2 linked regions of the Canis lupus familiaris genome follow. The protein of the gene in region 2 interacts with the protein of the main gene of each other region in a pairwise test. Links are inferred from orthologs where the notes say so. Each region holds a gene or a part of one and is shown on either strand. Other genes may lie near its edges. The genes, in order: BRK1 and MRFAP1.

Region 1 (3,823 bases), on a different chromosome or scaffold from region 2:
AGCGCCGCCTTCAGCCCAGGGCGTGATCCTGGAGACCCAGGATTGAGTCCCATGTCAGGCCCTGCATGGAGCCTGCTTCTCTCCCTTTGCCTGTGTCTCTCTGTCTCTCATGAATAAATAAATAAAATCTAAAAAAAGAAAAAAAAAAAAAAAAAAAAAGAAAAAGACTCCCTCTACTCCACCCTCACTCAAGCTCGCTCTCTCTCTAAAATAAATAAATCCTTAAAAAAAAAGGTTCATTAATACAACTCAGTGCTCAGAAATGAAGTTATTACATTACCCAGATCCAAATTTGGGGGACTTGTGCTAGATCATTTTTAAATTTTGAAAAACAGCCCCAGCTTAATTTACTTTTTAAAAAATTTATTCATTTATGAGAAAGAGAGAGAGAGAGAGAGAGAGAAAGAAAAGGCATGTGCCTGAGTGGGTGGGGTAGAGGGAAAGGGAGAGGGAGAGAAATCTTAAGCAGACTGTGCACTGAGCAGGGACTCCAAATTGGGGCTCCATCTCACGACACTGAGATCACTACCAGAGCTGAAACCGGAAGCTTAACTGACTAACTCACCCAGGCGCCCTATGACTTGTTATTTTAGATGTTTTGATTTAGTTGATGTTCTTAATACTTTGCTTAGATAATCTGTGTGTATAGATCAGATCTTACCAGATAGGTGAAATCTTTTAATTCTGCTTTTTAAGGTTAAAACTCTCCATGTCAGTGATTTTTCCAACTACTTTCCACTGCCTCTCCTAACTAAGCCAAATCTCAAGCCGTGATCTTCTCCTAGAAGATCCTTCTGGAAGGATCCTCCTTCTGGAAGAAGCACCATTCCATCCTTCTACTACCATGAAATATTTTGGTTTCTCTTCCATGGTCCTTTGTCTGAAGAAATGTTATGAGTAAATAATGCTGTGAACAACCTCCAATAATAGTTCAAGCTCTCCAGAAAAAGTAGGAGAAACCAATTATGAAAACTAGTATTGAAAGAGTTTGCATAGAACTTAGGAAAAAAGAAAAAAACTGAGGAAAGAAACCCAGATTATCTGAATAGTAGGGTAAATAGTCTCAGTTCACTCAAATCAATTAATCTAGCCTCTGAACTTGAGTCTATCTCCAAAAATCCATGTATCTTTTTCACTAAACCATACTCCTTTGCTCATAGTCCTTAAAAGATGTCAGGATATACGAGATCTATGTTGACTACCATTCCCTACTACAACCTCTATACCAAATTATGTGTGTGAATATGTATCAATGACATACTTATACTATTCTTTCTTTTTCTTTTAAGATTTCATATATTTATTCATGAGAGAGAGAGAGAGAGAGAGAGAGGCAGAGACACAGGCAGAGGGAGAAGCAGGCTCCATCCTGGATCCCGGGATCACGCCCTGAGCGGAAGGGAGATGCTCAACCGCTGAGCCATCCAGGCGTCTCTATACTATTCTTTCATATGACTCTATACTATTCTTTTCAGTAACTACCCTCAGTCATTCCCTGGTGAGAAAGATCCATCATACTAAGACTCATCAAAATTATAGTCCTACACACTTTATAAGGATATATATTAATACAAAACCGATGTTCTGAAACTGTCATTATTTCATTTGCAAGACAGAAATTCCTTGAAAGCAGGAAATGATTCTTATTCTGTGTCCTCCAGAGTACCTGAGAGCGCTTTCTACCGAGATCTGGTTTCTCTTGCTGATGCTTTCTAAGAAAATTCATGCTCTTTTACCTTACTCCTCAGGATGCATCAGTTCTCCAGCTGGAAAATAATTAATTCATTTAAAATCTTTTTTTTTTTTTAAATACATCGGTTTCCCCTACTTAATCTTCGTTGCTTGTTGCTGAATTAGTGGAACAGAAGCACACTAGTTGGAAAAAGATCACTAGATGTCATCCTTACACCTTGTGATTACTTAAGTCTACGCAGTGCCCAGTTCTGTTAAGGAAACACTTGGAGCACATGAGATGGGAGTCTGTTACAGGTTTGCTGTCCAGAAGGACACGAACAAAACAGAAAGAATCTGTCACAAGCGCGCCATGCCTAGGAAAGATTTTGCTAGAAGCAGAAGCAATACCTACTGCTGGCTAGTGGCAGCAATACAGAGCTCTCCGTGACCTTACATCTGGCCTCATCTCCCACCACTCTCAGCGCAGCAAAACCGGAAGACAGAAGAGGCGACTCAACGGTATGGCGCTCAAGAGATCCTGACAATGATGCGGAAGCCTCAAGAAACTCACACGAGGGCAGCGACACGGCTGTGGCTGCGTTGTGACTGACGCACCCTAAGTGCAAAGCGGGAACTGGAAGGGAAGCGGGTCACAAAGGAAGCAGGGAGGCTACCGAAGACGAGGCTGTGGATGCAGCTGCCTCTATAGAGTCGGGGAGAGGGCAAGGCTTGCTAATGGATCTGCTGGTGACGGCAATGAAGCCGAGGAGCTCAGCCCGGCGCAGGATAACCCTACAGGGACTGCCCGGTGAGGCCTAAGGATCCGGGCGAGAGGGGCAAGGTGGGCTGCAAAGGACGCGGAAACCAGCAAGCGCCCAGGGCTCCCGGGGCAAGCCCCTTCAAGGCTTCTCAGCGCCTTCGCCAAACTGCCCGAGCGGCCTCCTACCCAACCCCCGCGGCCCCCTGCTCGCCCGCTGACCGAAGGAGTTGAGAAAGTCCGCGATCTTCTTGATGCTGCTGGTGATGACCTCAATGTATTCCCGGTTCGCCCAGTCCTGGTGAATCTCCCGCTGCACCGGATCCTCTTGGCCCGCCATGGCTGCCGCCTGAAGAGAGCCACTGCGCAGGCGCCGCGACCCTCCAGGCCGCCAGGGCGCCTGCGCCGCCAGCCCACGCCCATCCCTTGGCACCCACGAATCCACCGGCATTGTGATGCGCCTGCGCGACGTCAAGTCCTCGCGTGCGTTTTCTCTCTGCTCCACGCCCCTGAAAAAAGTCGCCAGAAGGCGGCCGGGGAGGGGGCAGTGCGCACGCGCCGCGCCTCTCCTGCGCACCGCAGACCCGGTCGCCCGCGGTTTGGGTCGTTAGCGGGCGCGGGACCGCGAGACGCTCGCTCGGTCAGTTGCTCCAAACTAAGTTGGCCGTGTGTCGCCGATTAAGACGCATTAAGTACGACTCATTTTAAAAATGGCTTTCAGCAGCACAACATGATTCCCCACCTTGGACCCATCCAATGAACAAAACATTTTTTTTTGTTGTTTAAACAATGGCACCCAGTGATGGAGAGGCCCAGGGGAAATTGATAGGCTCCTAAATAGCTGGTCACACTGTAAACTGGCACAACTCCTGAAGGCAATTTGTAAATTGATAGCAAGAGCTGTCAAAAAAAAAAATTCGGACTTTTTTGACCTAATTATTTCATTGAGAAAAATCATTGAAAAAGAAAAAAAAAAAAAGACTTTAAGCACAAAGGTGCCCTTTGTAACGTTATTTAAAAAAAAAAAAAAACAAAACAAAACAACCAGGGACGCCTGAGTGGCTCAGTGGTTGAGCGTCTGCCTTAGGCTCAGGCCCTGATCCGAGGTGCTGGGATCGAGTCCCACGTCGGGCTCCCTGCATGGAGCCTGCTTCTCCCTCTGCCTGTGTCTCTGCCCCAATCTCTATGTGTGTCTCTCATGAATAAATAAATACAATCTCTAAAAAAAAATAATATAGCCACCTATGGCAATATAATGTATTTAAATAGTAATTCTGGGCACTATGGCAACATACATGATAAATTGAAGAGGAAAATGAAATACAAAATTGTCTTTAATTGCAACTGTATCAAAAATTTGTCTGCTTGAGGACAAGAAGGATACATGAAGAT
Region 2 (3,910 bases):
AGGAAGCAGACTTCAAGATGAAAATTACATTAAAAACATTTAACAGTCAGTGCAGGTTGTTTATTAGGGCTTAGGCGCCATGGGAGGCCTGTTAGACTAGGCAGAGAAGCAGCCCTAGAAACAGCCTCAGCAGACCCCACAGGCAGCTCACACAGAGATGCCCTTCAAAGTCTTCCCAGCTTGTAGCAAGAGGCAAAGAGCCCTTAGACCCCTAGTCTATTAGTCCTTGGATATGGGCCACCCAGGAAAGGGGGCATGACCTCAGCTAAGGCTACTCTTAAGCAGAGGCGCTTCTGGAGGGCTGACCAGCTACACACCATCTGTCAGCAACACTTCTAGCAGCTGGGGAGTAAGCGCATCATATCTGAAGGTGCTGGGAGTGGTGTGGTCCACACCCCCCCTTACCATAGCATTCCCTAATGTGAGGGCTAATGTTCCAGTTTTTTAGGTTAGGTGACTGGAAGTACTATGGCCTGTCTGAAGGCAATGGCCCAGACCACAGGATTTCAAGAGGTTCCTTCCTACACTAAAAACTGAGTCTGCCCTTTTTCGATCAACATGTAGATACTAGCATGCAGAAATAAATCTTCCCCGTGACCAGAGGCTGAGAGCGTCAAAAACTAGAAGAAATTCATCCTCCATTTGGTAATGATGACAATCAATGAGAAAGATTTTGAGAGAAATAAAATTTTAGTCAATAACTTTTTAGGTCCTTTGTCTTTTCAAGCAAATGAATACTTTTATTAACATGGTCTTTTTTTTTTTCTTTTTTTTTTTTTTAATTACACATGGTAGGGTTTTGACCTCAAATGCTTTGTCAGGTCTGCTACTCAAATGAACTTATAGCAGGACGACCTATCAACCTCAAAAATACCTAGTCCCTGTCCAGTTTAGGGTCCAATGCAGACAGTCCTCCTTTCTTTTCCCAGCCAGCCCCTCAAGAGCCTTTGCAAATATCTCTTCCATTGTGAATCCCCTGAAATGATCAGAATATCACATCAACTTGTACAAAAACCAAGATCTTGTCTATTCTAGGTTCCATATCAAATAAAACTGAGTTGGGTTGTCCAAATAAACTGACCAGACAGGTTACATCAGATAGTACGCCACATAAAATTTAAATTTTGAACAAAATACATCTTTTCTCCTTTGGTCTCACACAGAAATTAAAGTCCGGAAAATACAGACACTACTATCATCCTCCACACCTCCTTTCGACTCCTCAGTCCTAGCCAGGTCAACCCCATTCACATTCCCAGTTGAAGTCTGGTCCCTTCTTCTTCAGCTTCTTGAGCAGTTGCTGCACGAAGCAATCTTCCAGAAGTAAGCAGCTCCTTCAGCACCTCCAGAGCTGGAAGACTCCAACTCTTGAGTCTCATGTGACACAGACTCAAAGATCCAGGGAGCTATATCAAGTCACACAAGAAAGCACAAAGCACCTCAAAACCTAGAAATCACCAAAGCCCAAGAACAAACATCACTGCTGCAAGAGCTTACAATCTCGGCCCTAATTCTCATGTGAGATCATCTTCCAAATAAAAGTTACTTTTCCAAACAAAAACATTTAACAGTCAAAACTTATTTTGAGGTCACCAACCACAGACCATAGCAAAAAACGTAGTGTAAGTGAGGACAGAGTGTGGGGTGGGGTGGGGGGGGGGGTGGGGGAAGAGAGAGAGAAAACAAAAGGCTCTCTGGTTTCAGCTTCTCAAGGATGTCAGCCAATCTCCCATCAGTTGACCAGAATCCGTTGGCTGTAAACCTAAAGTACAGTTCGGGAGTAGAGGGGAGAAAGCCGTCATTCAAGAGGTTAATTCCGAAAAAGAAAACCAAACGAATCAAAACCCCTCACCAATTCAAACACGCAGGACGCCCCCCGACCCGCTCCGATCTTCCGGCAAACCCCAAAACGGCCCAATAACCGCTCCCCTCGGCTGGTCCTCTCTCTCCTCGCCGTGGCTCGGCGGCCCCGGCGTGACTCTGCCTCCCTCAAGGCCTGCACAGGTGGCTCTGCAGGGCACCGCGGCTCCCGGGTGCAAGCGGACACACTCCGGCCGCCCTGCTCACACGCAGGGTACAACCGGAGCGCGCCGCGGCCTCTGCTCCCCCCGCGCCGGCCTCCCTTCCGCCTTACCGCCCTCCTCCTTCAGGACGACTCGCTTCTCTCTATCCGCCGCACCAGCTCCACCAGCATCTCTGCCATCTTCGCGATCTCCTTGGCCTTCTCGTCCGCCTTCTCGCCCCTCTTGGCCGCTCTGCCGTCCACCGCGTCGCCGGGATTCTGCAGGTGATTCAGGGCGCTCTCCTCCGAGGCCTCCACCTGCGTTTTTATCTGGATGAGCATATTGTCCATCTCCCACAGCTTGCTCCTGTTGCGCATGTAGGCTCGGCCGTGCTCCCGGGTGAGGGCGGCGATGTCCTCCCGCATCTCGTTGATGACCGGCAGCAGGAACTGCTCGAAATCCTCCTCGGGCTCCAGCACTTCCACCTCCTCCGGCTCCGCCAGCTCGACGATGTCCAAGGGCCGCATCCTCTCTGCCTCTCCGGAACCGCGCTTACCGACGTCTGCTGCGGAGAGAAAATGGAGACTCGCTAGGCTTACCGACAGAGTTCCAGAAAATCCTTTAAAACTTTTACCCTTTTTAAACTTTTTTCGCTTCACAGGAGCCGCGGAAACGAACGACTTACGAGGAGAGGAGCCGCGAACAAAATGGAGTCCCAGCCGTCAACCAGCGCCCTGCGCGTTGCGGCCCCTTTCGCGACACGGCCGTGCCTCTTTACGGTCACGCCGCTCGTGGAACGAGGCGCGGGCGCGCGCACGCCGACGGAGGATGGGCGGGGCAACCCCGCCCCGCGGCCGGGAGCGCGCACGTACTGGCGCGCACTGTGCTTGACTTGCGCTTGCCGCTTTCCCCTAGGTCGCGCCCCTGCGCCGCCCTCCTTTTGGGGTGAGCCCTTCTGGGCGCGCCCTCCTCTTGGAGGGCTTCTGGAGCACTCAGTTATATATTTTTTAAGGCTTAACCGCGCCCTTCCTGCAATAAACAAAGATAGAAAGGCTGTGGCATCCCCAGACTAACTCCCATAGCCCCTTGTGTTTTAGTAGGGCGGCCAAACCCCTCTTAGCTGTCAGGAAAGTGCATTTTTCCGTCATCTTCGGCTTACAGTCGGAAATGCCTGCGTGTGTTTTCACCAGGCGGGACCCCCCTCGCTCCAGGGTACCAGGCCCCTACTGGTACCTTCATCCCGAGGCTCCGCCAGACCCAAAGCTCAGGGGGATGTGAGGAGGGTTTTCTTGGCTAGCCTTTGCAGGTGTCACCACCGGTCCAGGGTCCTCTGGGGGTCTGTGTCCCTGAAGCCCTGGGCGCAGCTTGGCACGTGCTAGTAAACTCGCTTTAAGGGGCGCCTGGGTGGCTCAGTGGTTGAGCATCTGCCCTCATCTGGGTGGTGGTCGGGGGGGTCATGGGGTCAAGTCCAGCATTGAGCTCGTCCAAGGGAGCCTGCTTCTCCCTCTGCTTATGTCTCTGCCTCTTTCTCCGTGTCTCTCATGAATAAATAAACAAAATCTTTTTTTAAAAACCATACTAAACAATTTTGAGAAATGATAATTTTCTAGCCTGTGGATGGGGTCATAAAACAGGAGTTAAAACTTGAGGAATCCAGCTTGCACAAGTGCGGAGCCTTTGGCTTTTGTTTTGCACAAATCTTAGTTGTGACTATGGTAAGAGTTAAGGGGGAAAAGAAACAATAGTCATGAAAATGCTTTGTAAATACCAAATATATACACATGTAAGGTCCTTATATTTTAGATATTTGTCAGATTCCTTATCTTTTGTTGCTTTACTAGAAATCCAACTTTTGGGCTTCCTCAGTATATCAGAGGCAGCTAGCTCATCAGTTTTTTTTTTTTAAA

Evidence for each region.
Region 1: the proteins of MRFAP1 (region 2) and BRK1 interact in binary tests that used the Homo sapiens proteins (3 or more experiments, as listed by UniProt). The link is inferred for Canis lupus familiaris from reciprocal best matches to the Homo sapiens genes MRFAP1 and BRK1.

Annotation. Positions count from the first base shown.
Region 1 is NC_049241.1:8,298,906-8,302,728, forward strand, and holds the start of BRK1 (protein BRICK1), read right to left. Parts: upstream 2,853-3,823; 5' UTR 2,772-2,852; coding exon 2,654-2,771; intron 1-2,653. UniProt on the Homo sapiens protein: Involved in regulation of actin and microtubule organization. Part of a WAVE complex that activates the Arp2/3 complex. As component of the WAVE1 complex, required for BDNF-NTRK2 endocytic trafficking and signaling from early endosomes.
Region 2 is NC_049224.1:59,279,420-59,283,329, reverse strand, and holds MRFAP1 (MORF4 family-associated protein 1), read right to left. Parts: upstream 2,816-3,910; 5' UTR 2,689-2,815; intron 2,569-2,688; exon of another isoform or gene 2,566-2,568; 5' UTR 2,531-2,565; coding exon 2,147-2,530; 3' UTR 2,135-2,146; intron 1,763-2,134; 3' UTR 709-1,762; downstream 1-708.